Linked DNA regions of Drosophila melanogaster. Changing the gene in region 2 together with the main gene of any one other region gives a genetic interaction. Each region holds a gene or a part of one and is shown on either strand. Other genes may lie near its edges. The genes, in order: mus312 and Fancm.

Region 1 (7,114 bases), on a different chromosome or scaffold from region 2:
TGTTGTAGGCCCAGATGACGCCGGTGGAGATCAGGGCAATGGTCAGCCAGCCCATGAAGAACAACTGCAGCCACATGTGCTCGCCGCCGCTGTGATCCACGATAATTCCAGCCACGATAGTGATGACCGCCAAGCCAAGATTCTGTATCGATTGGCAGAAGCCGTAGGCCGTGCCCAATTGGTATTCCGGAATGATGAGAGCCACCAGAGGCCACAGGCTTGCGGCCAGCATGGAATACGACAGTCCCATGATGATCATGCCCACATAGGGTGTCAGCTGGGTGAACGTAAGCAGGGCATGGGCTCCAATGGTGGTCAGTGTCGCTGTGAACACCCAGGTCACATTCCTACCCAGTTTGTCGATGATGAAACCAAAGACCGGAGACGATACGGCTGCAATTAGATACACCAGCGAGTCCACGGTGTTGGCCTCAGCAGGCGAAAGCCCGAAGCGATCAACAAAGAAATTCTGTCCGAGGGCAATGAATGGGAAGATGGCCACATAGTAGGCGACGCAAATGATGGATACCATCCAAAAGGGTGGTTTGAACGAAAAGACATCGGTGAGTTTCGGTATCTGTCCAGCCGGGTTGTTGTTACGCTGCAAAATCCGCTCGGCCCTCTTGTCCATCCAGCCGAGGATGAGGGCACAGGTCATCGACATCACACAGGTGAGGGTAGCCAGCAATAAGACGACGCCTAGAGCGGTATGTCCCTTGTAAAAATTGCTCACATACTCATAGATGGGCTGCATCACCCAGAAGTTGACGGTGCTGCCGAATCGGGCAACCGACAGCTGCAGGCCGAATACCATGTTCAGTTCCTTGCCCTTAAACCAGAGCACCGCATAGCTGTTCTGGGCCACCGCCAGTGATTCGGCGCCAATGCCGAAGATAAACCGTCCCAGGATCATCATCCAGAAGGCGTCCAGAATGCCGCCGCAGGCAAAGATCAACTGACCCACCAGCAGGATCATCATGTAGATAATCGTGCCCAGTCGAATGCCAAACAGTCGATCGATCAGGAAACCTCCCACGAAGCACAGGACGACATTGGGCCACGAGTAAATCGAGTAGATGAGTGTGAACTGGGCGGAGGTCAGATTAAGATCTTTCTTGAAATAGTTCTGCAGGGCGCCGGGTGCATCGTAACAGAAATAGGAGCCGAATCCCAGCAGGCACATGAACACCAGAGCCATGAACCGGTGGCTCGTGCTCGAGGGCATGCAGCAGCCGCCGGACGGAAGGCTCAGTTCATTGTCACGCCGACCGGCCCGACTGACCACTTGGTCCTCCTCCGTCGGTCGCGACACCTCCTCATTGTCCACGATGCGTTCCTCGTCCTCGCGCGCCATCTCCACTCACCGCTGGCACAATCCGCACTGACCAGTTGGATGTGGAGCCGAATCCCGCAGAATGGGCGTATGCAAAACTATGTGATATGATTAATCGGCTTTCTGATTTCCTGCCGCAGTTGTTTTTTCTTTTGCTTTCGTTTTTCTCTTTTCGTATTTGCCGTTTCTGCAAAATATTTGTATCAATTTCTGCGAACGAGTGAGCGAGTTGAACTCTTCTGCTTTGTCTTGGCTTATCTCGCTGCTTTTGTTTTTGTTTACTGTACTAGTACCCTTTGTCTAACAACTATTGTTGTTGTTGGCTGTGTGGGCTAGTTAGTTGTCTCTGGGTTCACTGGTTATCAGCAGTTTTTCCACTCCACTTGCAGCTGAAGTTCGCAGTGCGGTGTTGGGCAACAAATGTTCGGTGACGTGTGCAACCGCACTTTATTGCTGATCGAATAAAACTAAATTCTTTCCTCTGCCTAATTAACGTTAATTACGCATATACAATGGCGGGGCTGCCAACTCGCTGTAGAGCAGGGTTGTCGACGCAGCTACAGGTGCATTCGAACAGCTGGCAGGCGATAACGATCACAAATATGAACGGTATTCCTGTTTTGCTCTCCATTATAATCGAAAGTTTACTCTAATTGAAATGCAAATTTTAGTAAGCCATGATTATTTATATAATAGAATTATATAAATAAAAATAAAAACGCTTGATTATATTAATAAAACAAGATAATCATTAATTGAGAAACTATTTAAGTACAAGAGCTCAACGACGCAGAAATCTCTTGCATCTTGTTTTGATTTAATTTAGTATAGCCTGACAACCCTAATCCAGCAACGCCGAGTTGAAGCATGTTTTCATACTTTTTACCGGGTAAAATGTATTTAATTATATAATTCAGCGGCCCTTGCAGCAATGGATCCCATCGACACCACCAAGCGAAAGCCCAGACGCACCTACGGCACGCCATCCTACACGTATCGCAATCGATTTGCCTATGCCCTCTTGGCCGCCGGAACTGTGCTCTTCGGCATTTGGAGGTGAGCAGATCTTCGAACTTAACGTATAAATGTGGTTTTAATGCTTGCCACCGCCTCGTTTTCAGCCTGACTCCCATCCAGCGCATTGCCAACGAGAAGCTGTCCCAGGCGGTGGCCCAAACCGAACAGGAGCGCGATAGGAAAGGACTCTTTGAGTTCGGCGCACCAAGGACTTCGCAGTTCATCAGGGACGCCATCAAGGAGAGCGAGGAGCAGAGGAACAAATAATGGATCGCAAGACGCGGCGAGCCAACTTCAAAAACCTGCAGCCTCGGTAATTTTAATTGAAATAAAGGCCAATAAAATGAATGTCATTATCTAACCGAACACTTTGTTTTCCTTTCATCCGAAGTTTGACGCGAAGCACCAAAGCAGCCGCAGATACATTATCGTTATCCAACTTCTTTGCCACACCCGAAAATGCTGAAGAAGTTCCGTCATGTCTCGCCGACATTCCTGTTCAGCCCGATCCTCCTGCGCCAAAAATCAAACCAATACGCACCAGCAATGTGTTCGAAAAACCTGGGCCCAAGCCCAAAAAGGCACCCAAGCTCAAGGCCAGCACTGTGTCAACGTCGAGTGGGGCGCGTCGTGGACGCGGAAAGAGCAAACAACAGCCCAGTATCAGCAACTTTCTACGCAACGAGCAGATCTTCGCGGAGGTTACCGCCCAGCATTGCATGGCGGACAACTTTAGTGCGGATGACATTGAAATGGCGCTGGCGCTGTCCAAATCGGAGAGTGAGAAGCATGGACGCCTTCGTCTGCATGACGATGACGATGCGGTGGTTGACCTACTGGATGATGAAGAGAAGTCCACTGAGAGAATACGTCATAAACTGCAGAAGTATGGCTTCCGCACAGCCGCCAAGGAAGGTAAGTCATCTTATAAAGTGTAAACGGTAAGATTGGACTTACGTTTTATCCCCATTTAGATTATAAATCTCTGGCGGTCCTGCCCGTGGTGGCCAGCAAAGGAGGTAGACGTGGCAAGTGGGCCAATAGGTTTACTTCCCTAACTTTAAGAAATCCGGATGTGCAACAGAAGAAGCTCGAGGAGAAAGTGTCTGCATTGCTTGGCCAAGAAATGCGCGGCAAGGAGCCCAACGGGGAAGACTGTTGTCTGACACCATACACTGTGATCACCGCAGCATTGAAGGAACTCAGAGCTGAGGGTGAATCTCGCATCCTTCGGGAACCAAGCGAAGGGCCCATAGATGACCTAGAATCATACTACGTAACCGACTTGTTTGAAGTTAGTCGCACGCCGGCACACCATCTTTTGAAGAATTGGGCAGCGATACAGGGAAGGGATTTTTCGCCAGAGCGTGAGACCCAAAAATGCCGCCAATTAAGGCAACAACATGAGCTTGTCTACGCTGAGTTGGAAAGGTACTACGGTGATCCACAGAAGTTAGAAGAGGAGGTGATGCAGGAACTGGATGAATTGGAAAAACTGGTGGCAGATAACATGATCGAAGATGATTCTGTAGTGATAAATATTGTGGAGGCAGAATCATCGTCGACTGGTAGCAGTCCATCAAAGGAGCCGCCGGATAAGCGTCCAAAAATGACAATGGAAGATAAGGAAAACCTGCAGCCAACAACATCAAAAGCCAGCTTGACTGTTCCCGCCCAGTCAACCCGCTGCACCTCGCCGGATCTCTTTGCGGACTCCGAAGATGAGCCGGATATAGTAACGACTGCTATATCCAATGAACCCGAAGACGTTAGGAATCTTTCAATGAAAGTTTACAAGAATGTCAGCATTAGCGAACGATCATCTTCGGTCGCTGAAATAGAAATTGTGTCCAGCAATGATGAACCTTCTCAGATAACCACGTATGAAGTGTTTTCCAGCGACGAAGGTGAGAATCTCCATTCATATAGACAGCACACCCCTTAAGAGTATTTCAATTTGCTTTCAGTAAAGACTGTTTCCAACGCTACGCAGGAGAAGATTTCTTTTGATGGTGAGTAAACACAGAAAAGTTCGATACCAAAATCTCATTCATATTTTAATTTCCAGACAAACCCATAGATGACTTTATAGACCTAACACAAGAGTTCGATATGGTAGAATTTAATGAATCAAAGCCTAGAACCCCAAACTTAATTGCATCATCGGAAACAGATTCCAATGTAGACAACCTAAATGGTGATACAATTCTAGATTTTAGTTCCCAGGAGGTAAGTTGTCCCATCTCCAAGGAATTGTACGCAAAGTATGCCAAGGTGGAAACATTCCCTGTGTGGAATGCAGCAGCAGAAGAGGAGGATAAAATTGAGTTTTCCTTAAGCATGGAAAGAGATTTGAAGAGTTCCGAGCAATCGTCGCATCAGCTCGGCATATTAACCACTCCAAATGACACCGAACACAGTTCAAGCTTCAGTGAATTGAATTTCTCGAGGAACTCGCTTCGGAGGAGCGTTAGTCTATCAACGGATCTCAGTTTCAAAAGTCCGCTTAACTGGAAAATGAACTCATCAGCCGAGAAGAGGGTCTCGCCGGCTGCTTCTCCTTACAAACAGTCGGATGCTAGTGTGGACTTAACCCAGAACAGCGATGACGAAAACGACGCAATTCTGCTCTCCGACGAGGAAATCAATTACTCCATTTGGAAGGGCAATAAGACCGTAAAAGATTTGGATATCGGGGACGATAGCTCAGACAGTTGCTTTGCATCTCCGGTGACGAAAAAGCGAGCTATCCCACAGTTCCAAACTGAGGAGGATCTGGATGCCTTCTTGATGGACTTTTCCACGGATGGCAATGGATCGCAAGGTTCACATTCTCCCAACAAGAGTGCTCTTAGCAAGGAGCGTGCTGAATTCGGAATACTGGATGCTGCTCCGTCTCAACCCTTCAGTCTATCTGAACTTCAGAGTCACGCCGACAAAGAGAAGTCATCGGATAACGAAATCAACTGGGCAGAAGCTTCATTTTTGGATGCACCAGCAAAGCCATTGTCACGCAGGAGCAGCCACAAATTTAATGAGCTCTTGGCGAAAATAAGCAAACCAGCGCATAACTCTGGCGACGACTTTGACGAATTCGATCAGATGGTTTTCCAAAGCACCAAGGAAGCCGCCTCCAGTGCTGGCGAAACAAGTGACATGCCTCAGGGATTGGACCTTTTGTTGAAGGGAGAGATAAAAACGACAGCGATCCCGGAGACAAGAGCTCCAGGCAACCAAACTCCGATTGAACCGCAGCAAGTAGATGTTGACGGCAATGTCTACTCCGTGCGTGTTTGTCACACACCTAAGCCAGATTTCGCCACCCTCCCGGAATCGGAGATCCTCCAGCAGCTCTACAAGTACGGCATAAAGCCACTAAAACGCAAACAGGCAGTGAAAATGCTCGAATTCATCTACAATCAAACGCATCCCATAATGAAGACAGCTGCTGTTCAGGATTTACCAGCCAGATCTGAGCCAATTGTGCGTTCCAAGTCAACTCCTGTGATTATGGAGAGACCACATTCGCAAGTAGCAAAGTCAACCTCTAAAACATTGAAGGCAATTGGGACAAAAAAGGATTTAACATTTAACGATGCCACGGGCGAGGAATTGCTGCGCTTTTCCCAATCCCTTGCCCCGAGTCTTTGCGATGACTTCGAGACCTTTGTCATGCAAACGAACGTTACCAAGAAGACACCACAGCCGCTGGTGCCACTGCACATCGCCTGGCACAATCTCATCTGCGCCAATCCCCAACTGCACGAAAGTGTACTCACGTACGAACCCATTGATTTGCAGGCAGTTTACTTGCACCTGAAGCACATGGGGCATCGATACGATCCAAAGGACCTGAAGACCTTCTTCGACCGGCGTTGCATTATCTTTCGCTATGAACTGGGTGCTCCCGGCAAGCAAGCAGAGCGTCATGTGCGAAGGCACACAAAAAAGCCTTCTAAAAGGAAGTAGATTCTACAAGTTATGGAATTTCATTGTACTTATACCTAACTTTGAATGCATTGAATTATTTTCTAGTATTTACCTTATATTGTATTATTGAATAAGATATTGTTACTTGGTATTTTGCGATCTAAATTTATTGTATGTAAAATTGATAAAACTCAAATACATTCAACACTTTTGTTTGAAGCATTGTTAACCATTCCTATTTGCCATTTCAAGCTACCCACTAGCATCTACGATTAAAAAACACAATATTATTTTGGGGGCCGTAGATTTATTTGATGCAACTTCAAAATACAATATTACAAAACTAATGGACGAATACAAATGTATAGAGTTTGTAGTAGATACAAGACACTGATATTTTCATACGAGTAGAATATTGGACAACATTAAATGCAGCATCTGTAGACAGACTACCCTAAATGGGTATTAAATGTAAAAATACAATTCGATCTTACGGCGCTAGAAAAGACACTTGGACGGTATAAATTTCTTACGAGTCTCTACGTGAAAGGCACATTGTCAGATTGCGATTAATGGAATGGAATCGGCTCGAACAAAACTGGTTGCTAATGAAACTATTTGTACTGCATGCAAAACTGATATGGTTGGTGGGTGCAGACGGGTTAGTGGGCTCTTACAGTAGCTAGGATTAGTTTTGGGGGGAGAGAGATATATAAGAAGCAATTCGTAGCATTGCCGGCATGTATAAGTATGTAAATTAAAGGCAGGGCTGTCCAAGAAATCACCAACAATACCCATTGGTTGAATGGGATTAATGGGACACCCCTGAACACC
Region 2 (7,785 bases):
CGCCATCTGGCGGCCTGTGCGTTCCCACTTTACCCGTAAGGTGGTGATGTATTTTTCATGACAAAAGACCCAAGTATGTATAACACCATCTAGGGAGCCATTCGTATTGTAATATATTCATAGTCTGGCAGCACCAGACAACGAGTAATTTATAGGGCTGCCAGATAAAACTGTACGAAATCAGCGATACCAGAATTTTATGTTCTAAAAAGTGTTTTGGAAAATTTTTTTTGGATATACCTCAATATGCAAAACTCGTGCAGAAAAATCGATTGACATTGGTCATTAACATTGGGTACGCATCTTAAAAACCACCGAGAATTTAAGTTATTGAACAGGAGATTTAAATAGATTCTTGATTCATGCAGCTAATAGTTACCAGTATTTATTTAAGCAGGTTCACTATAGAAGACCGATACTCGCAAGAACTTGGGAGCTCCATAATTACTCCATGATTGAATGTATAAATGCGTTAGGAAGGATAACAAATAGAGAAACGCAACATATAAAATTTTAGATATTTCGTTAATTTTATTATTTGTATCTAAAACAATGTAACCTAGTTAAATTATTGTATTCGCTTGAGTTAAAAATATTAACAATCAATTGGACTTATAAAGATCTGTATCACGTATTCACATAAATCTACAAGATTATTAAACGAAATAAAATCGGAAACATTTTAACAAATCACAAACTATTTAATGCAATGGCACTGGGAAGTGACGTAGCGTTTAATCAATTAAAACAACATCATCTTCATCGCTAGAGGTGCTTATGGTTTGTAATCGGCGTCGTTTATTAACCGGAGCGGAAGGCACCTTACCTAGTCGACGTTGCTTTCTTCGCTCCTTTAGAATACGTTCCGCTTTCTCAAGAGGACATTCGGAGACATCATGCCCTCTTTCAATCGTGGAGCTTTCGTCATCAACGATAAATGAGCATTGCATGTACTGCGAGGAATCGTCTTCCACTGGCTGAGAAAATATGTGCGATTCGTCGCGAAAAACTCGTGGAGGGGGCATCTTGAAGGCACCTGGCCTTTGAATGGGGCTCCTAGCAACGAGATATTGTTTAGTTAGACGCATTTATAATTCACCCTCGACTTACTTGAGTGCACGAAGGTAAATAGCATGAGTGTTTGTGTCGTTATGGTCCTCATCATCGCTTGAAACGATCATGGAGTCCTTCAGATATGTGCCTATGGTAGTCTCCCCTTCCTCCTCATGGTCCGATCCGCTTTTTTCAGCCTCATCCAAAATAAAGGAATTGAATTTACTGCGTTTGTGTCGAGGTCTCGTTGGAGTCTTACGAGGATCAGGCTGAAAGTTATATATGTCATATATTAGATGTATTGATCAAATTCTAAACTTAGGGATATATACCATTTGCGTGTCAAGAATTCTCTCGTAATCATCGGACTCGCAATCCACTTGGGTTTCCGCAATCTGTGGCTTCTGCTCCTCTTCCTCATCGGAACTTATAACAATCTTTCGTTTGGATGGACGCCGCGCAATAGGAGAATCCTCTTCGTCTTTAGGTACTGAGATTGTAGGATTCGTTGAAGTTATACGGTGAAGATTCTCCGCAGCTTTAGCAAGACGACCACGACCCCGCATTCGATTTAAATATAGATCAAAGATACTTGGAGACTTTTCCTGGATAGAAGGATTGGTACGTTTCCGGTTCTCCGGCGAATTAAGACCTACTGAATTCGGCGGTGGGCAAGGCAAAACCTTTGCTGCTGCCTTGGCTGCCAATTTTGCGGCCAGACTTTTTCCTTGGGGCTTCAAAGGTGACATGGAGTCAGATCCAAAGATATCTGGCGAAACGGTTCTTGAGCCATCCTCATGTGAGTTTTTATTTTCTGAGTTTTTAATTGTTTCTGTACTTGGAAGCAGTATGTTTTTCTTCTGCTGGCTCATTAGCTCTAACTCCTCTGGCATTGGCTCGAGAAAATCCTTGAAGTCATTCGCCTTTTTTTGGCTCATCAACTCCACTTCCTCCACCATCGGCTCTAGAAATTCTTTCAAGTCCTCGTCCGTTAGATCAAGGTCATTGTTGTGTGCTGTTTCTTTCTGCTCGCAGTTTTTCTCCAATTTTTCCATCTGGTGATCTACGATGTTCTCTTGCGACTTCCCTTTTGTCTGGGAGGCTAATTCCAGTTCCTTGTCCATTGGCTCTAGAAAATCATCCAAGTCGATATCCAAATCTTCTACAATGGATTCTGCGTGCATTTTCAGATTTAAAGAGGACTTAACTTCTACTTTCGTCTCATCTATGCTCATTGGATATATCTCACTATTTTTATTAACAGCACAGTGATTTGATTCACCTGAAGAATCTGCAATGGAAATAGGAGTTGATCTTTGACTTTCTTCCACGGCTGGAAAGTGATTTGTCTCAATTGTAGAGTCTACTACAGGAATAGGTGCAATTCTTTCAGTCGCTTTAATCTTCGATTCACTTGCGTTCATCAGTGAATTTAGGCGACCTAAGTTGTCCCCCAATTCACTAGCTTCCATCCCGGAATGATACTCCTCTTCAATATCGCCCTGCAGGGTTTTAAACATTAATTTGCTCAAGGGTTTGACCCTGAGCGGCGTTGAGCTATGGGGGACAACATTCGCGTCTGGTAAGTTCAATTGCTGGCTTAGGTACATAGACTCAAATTTCACGTCTTCCTCCTGTTGGTCCCACTCCTCTTCTGACCAGGAAGCTTCAATGCCACCCAGTTGCTCGTTTACTGTGGTTTCCAGATTGCGAAGCTCAAGTTTCTCTAAAAGATCTTGCTTCAGTTCAAAATTGTTCGAGTTTAGGCCATGCTCATTCAGACCATCGAAAATCTGTTCACAAATGGTATCGAACTTTTTGGGACTTTGATTATAAATAGGATTTAGTTCATCCCTGAAGCTAATCTCTGCTCCACTATTATCCCCTTGAAGAAGCTCATTCATCTGGTCCATTCCGTCGCAAATGTCCAGAAGCAGTTGATAATTATTTTTAGTGCGTCGCTGCCGACTATTTAAGCGATCATCAGCTATATTCAACTCGCTCTGGACTTGCATCTTCAAATGGGTTTCCCTCAGAAATTCGGGATTACTTTTGAGTAAGTAGAGCTTTATTTGCCTGGGTAAGTGATCGTCCTGCAGATGGCTCATAAGATCCTTGGAGTCCGAAACAAATGGCTTGCTTGACTGCAGAAGGCGAGTAAGTTTTCGGAGGCGTTGCACATCTTCCTGACTGCTGGTTAACGTTGAGCTGGCCTGAGATTCCCCAAAGAAGTTCTTCAGAGTTACGCTGCGCCGTAGAACTTGCTGCTTAACCAATTGCTGTGAAGCTTCGCTCATTTGGTAGGGTTTTATTCCCTGCAATATTCCTTGCTGACTCTCCGTTGGAGGACTTTCTTTGAAGTATTTCCTTAGGCTACCAGTCTGTGCAACTGGTTGCTTCCGCTTCCTGGATTCTTTCGTCTTGGCTGCCGACTTCGGCTTGGGTTTCTCCTCAGCAACTGGCTCCATGTGTTTCTCCTCGCATTTTGGTTGAAATTTTGATGGCACCATTCGAGGATTTTGCTCATAAAGCGACAATTTAACAACGGACGAATTCAATAGCTTCTTGTTGATTTGATCCTTGTTGGCCAGAACATCCTTAAGCACCTGCTGTTCTCGTCCTTCGGTCACTAGCATAACCACCTCTCCATTCTTCTTCCTTCCAGTGCGCCCAATCCGCTGAATAAATCTAGTGGGATTAGTGCTGCAAATGTCGAAGCACACAATCATCTCCACCTCGCCGACGTCTAAGCCCTCCTCTCCGATCGACGTGGCCACCAGAACGTTGCTAGTGCCGGATCGAAAGTCGGTCATTATCTGCAGCTGCTGTTTCTGGGTGAGAGCATAGCTTGCTCCAACTGTGCTGCCCTGGCCAACAAAACAGCGCGGACGGAGCACCGGTCTGTGTTGAAGGAGTAGCCGGTGAATCAGCATTACGGATTCACGGTACTCGCAGAAAACAATGGCGCGGGAATCGGGGTTTGCCTATTAAAGAAAACATTTATATTAACAAGGGAATATGTTTATCGGTTTCATGAAAATTATATGAAAACTTCTTTTTTTTTGATTTTTTGCCCCTACCTGAAAGTGTTGCACCAACACCTGTCGCAACTTCTCATATTTGGCATGTCCAAAGTCTAGATCAGATGGCAAAGGCGGCACTTCTCCATTCGTCATGGCATGCGTGGTGTAATCTAGGGGATTGGCACCGAGTTCTTGGCGGACCTGCTCCACCAAATTCCTTAGATTACCATCTCTGGCCAGTACAAATTTCTCTCGCCCGTCGTCGTCTGCATCGAAATTGTTCACGAAGACGCGAAGACCGTGACGCTCCATTAGGTCCAGCGAGTGGTACATGCTGATGCACATGGCGAAGTTGCCCATTATTATGTTGTGATCCGGATGCCGCTGGCCTTGCGCCGATCGTTCGACGAAGCTTTTCTGCTCAAAGAGCAAACTATTTCTGCTCACGGTTCCCTTGTTGCCTTTAAAAATCTCAGCTTCCATAAGCTGGCGTAGGTATGGTTCGATGATCTGCAGCAATCGTTCTCTCGGCTCCTTGATTCTCTCCTTCAGGGAGACCACTATGGTTCGAATCGTCCGCCTGTGTATGTAGGGCTGCACGTCGATCGAGGTGTCCCAGCGCACTTGCAGATTGGAAATGTATAGGTTTCGGCACACAGCTGCCACATCCTCCATGGTTCTTCCTGGTGTAGCGGACAGGGCAAGCATCCGGAAATACCTGTTACGTGCCATCAGACAGTCGGCCACTTGGGTGTAGGCATAGCGACCTTTGGCCCGGTGCGCCTCATCCACCACTATCAACTTGATGGACCCAAAGGGAAAGCTGCATTCGCCATCAGCTTCCAGCATGTCTGAGTGCACCACCTGCGGCGTAGCGAAGAAGACCCGCTTGGAGGCCCACAGCTCAGCTCGTTTGGGTCGAGGAAGTTGGCCTGGAATAAAAATGGGACTGGAGCTTATTTTTTGGATTCAGGACTTGTAAGGCAGTCGGCACATCCAGGTTCTTTTAGTCATATAACCCGGTAAGCATTTGTAAATAAGTCTTCACATTTGAACTCACCTGTTAGCTGCACCGTGTCTTCAGATGGAAAGGGCATGATCTTCTGGGATGCGTGGATCTGCTGCGAGACCAGGGGCCTTGTGGGTGCCATGAACACAATCTTTCCCTTTGGATACCACCTGTAAAAGTTGTACATAACCACCGCCGCAATGAAGGTCTTTCCCAATCCCGTGGGCAACACCACCAGGGTGTTTTTGAACAGCGCCGATTGGACGATGGTTTGTTGATAGGATCGTAGGGGCAGGTTGTTTGGATAAATCCAGTTGTGTCCTGTGGCCATATCGAAACCATCGCAGGCTTCGTCGCAATGTTCCCAACGTGTTCCATCGGCATCCTGAGGATCCAAACTGTGAGAGACTCTGCGCTCGCAGGAGTAAATACAAGTAAATACCTCGCTCTTCTGCTCTTCGTGCATAGCCAAGGCCGCCACTAGGTCTTCGTCATCGTCCATCCAATTCACATCCATGATAGCAGCAATCTTTTGATAACAACTACTGCACGACGATCTACATTTTGTTTTGAAAGTGTTTACATTGCTTTACATTGTGTTTATAACATAACATTCCGTTAGGGATGAGCTAATCATTTTAGGTGGCGCTGTTGGAGTATATCGATCACACAAATCGTGACATGAAAACTAATTTTAGTCTGTAAAACCCTCTAAATATAGGGTAATAAGTAAAAATAAATACAATTCTCAAAAATTGTTAACTGTCTAAGCAAGCTTGAAGCGGCTTCTTATAGCGCGGATTTGCTAAGCCATTAAACAGTGCTCTAAAATGGTGCCAAATACGAGAGTGGCAGCACTGCTCCAGATGGCGCCACTGTGTATATGTTTGCCAAACACTTAAATTCAAATAAAAGCGCGCCAATTTTAAACAGTGACTAAGTTGATTTTAGAGAATAAAGATAAATGAGTGATCAAATGGCAATAGTTTACATTAATTAAAAGAGCTCTTGTATGATTTCCCTTAATCAGTATCATATCGGTGAAAAGTATTGCTAAAATGCCGAAATCCTTACGAAAACGCAGACCCCACAATCTGCCCGGAAATGTCAAGCCCCATTTAATGTCGCCAGTTCGTAATTGGGCGAATACACACTGCGTACTTACAGATTGCCCGAGTACTTTTCGCGATATTTCTGTCGTAGATGTTCTGATTGTCTTAAATTAGGCGCTTCCAACGAACGTTCTTATTTGCTTTTATTTCCCCAACGAAAAGGCTTGGTATCAAAAGAAAAGCAGTACGGGTAGATACAATTAAACTGGTAGCAGCATTAGGATATTTAACAAATACCTTTTAATGAATTGATTAATTAATGGAATGGAACTGAATTTTTAATTTTTAATGTATAAGCCGAATAATATAATTGAAATAATATACTTCCCATGCTGACTAAACTCAACCTTAATTTCTGAAGTTATTCCACAAATCCTTGCCCCTGCTGCTGATGAGGGAAAATGATAATTAGCAAGCACATACATACACTTGGCCAAGTTTGACGGAAAAACATACGTAAATAGTCACAATCTCATTTCAAAATCTTCACCTAATGAGCATTGACCGTGTGTGGGGGAATCTGAGTCCGAGAGCTGGATGTCATGGCCCACTCCCGCGGAAAAGCACGGGCACCGGAGAACGCTCACAAAATGTAATTATATCGCATTATTTGTCATTCCGAGCAAATGAATTGAAACAAATTTAGTGTGACAAATGAATTGTTCACTTATGTATGTAAGTTCGTGTGTTTGCTCGTAGTGGGGGGCTGGGGCTGGGGGAGGGGCACCCCATTCGGCAGCCACCGTGAGCTGGGACAGAAATACCCGGGCACACGGGTACACGGGACACACTCAATTTGCTGGCTCTCTAGTCAATTTCATTTCATTTGCATGAAGTTCTCCCTCTCTTCGGGGCTCCCTCCTCATATAGACAATATACATGAATATATGAATGTACATATCTCGGTGTGCGTGCTATCTGTGGGATATCTGTATGTATCTGTGGGCCATGGGCACTACGCCTTTTGCCTAATTCGGCTTTATGAGCCATGTCTAATTACCAAATGAATTGTGCAATTATTTATTTTTGTTTATTAATTGGCTGCCGCTTTAATGAGCCTAATGACCAGATATCTGAGCGTAGATTCGAGTGTCCTATGGGCACATGTGATGAGTCACAGGTTATTGCGATGCCCTGCCCGACATGGCCAACATAAATGTCATGACTTATGCGCTGTGCTGCGAGTGCTGCGTTGCGATGCGGTTGCCATACCCTTCTCGACTCATCGACTTATCTCCGACGACGCCAAGTCGCCAAGTTACGAGTATTTGCGGTTTACATCATAACGAGCACTCTCCATACAAAGTTGCCCAAGCGGAATCAGCCACCACGGGAAACCAGGCTAGAAAGGGCCCAGACCCTTTTATGCAAAGTGCTTTTAGTCGGGGTTGGGGTGATCCAAAGGGTATTCACTACGGCTGAAACAGTCACTCAAAAAAAATGTTAAGAAGGCCTTTTTTAAATATCCATTGAGATGACGACTATCACATGGCCTAACAAGAACATGTTGCAAGAATGTTATCAGTTGGATTTTACATATGTGCAAGTTTATTTCATATATAATAATATAATTACCTTCTACAGTGCT

Evidence for each region.
Region 1: of Fancm (region 2) and mus312, changing one suppresses a phenotype caused by changing the other (phenotypic suppression), as found in Drosophila melanogaster (one study listed by BioGRID).

The regions. Positions count from the first base shown.
Region 1 is NT_037436.4:7,326,975-7,334,088, forward strand, and holds mus312 (mutagen-sensitive 312), read left to right. Parts: upstream 1-2,157; 5' UTR 2,158-2,264; coding exon of another isoform or gene 2,265-2,389; intron 2,390-2,454; coding exon of another isoform or gene 2,455-2,616; coding exon 2,617-2,663; exon of another isoform or gene 2,664-2,714; intron 2,715-2,741; coding exon 2,742-3,265; intron 3,266-3,324; coding exon 3,325-4,257; intron 4,258-4,317; coding exon 4,318-4,362; intron 4,363-4,418; coding exon 4,419-6,319; 3' UTR 6,320-6,497; downstream 6,498-7,114. Other genes in the region: mrva (minerva), read right to left, coding at 1-1,354; CG42307 (uncharacterized protein), read left to right, coding at 2,265-2,389, 2,455-2,617. UniProt on the Drosophila melanogaster protein: Regulatory subunit that interacts with and increases the activity of different structure-specific endonucleases.
Region 2 is NT_033777.3:21,480,204-21,487,988, reverse strand, and holds Fancm (fanconi anemia group M helicase), read right to left. Parts: upstream 5,665-7,785; 5' UTR 5,603-5,664; coding exon 5,528-5,602; intron 5,471-5,527; coding exon 5,137-5,470; intron 5,009-5,136; coding exon 4,134-5,008; intron 4,038-4,133; coding exon 1,386-4,037; intron 1,323-1,385; coding exon 1,111-1,322; intron 1,057-1,110; coding exon 735-1,056; 3' UTR 545-734; downstream 1-544. UniProt on the Drosophila melanogaster protein: A ssDNA-dependent ATPase with 3' to 5' helicase activity. Involved in multiple DNA-damage responses, some that require ATPase and helicase activity and some that are independent of these.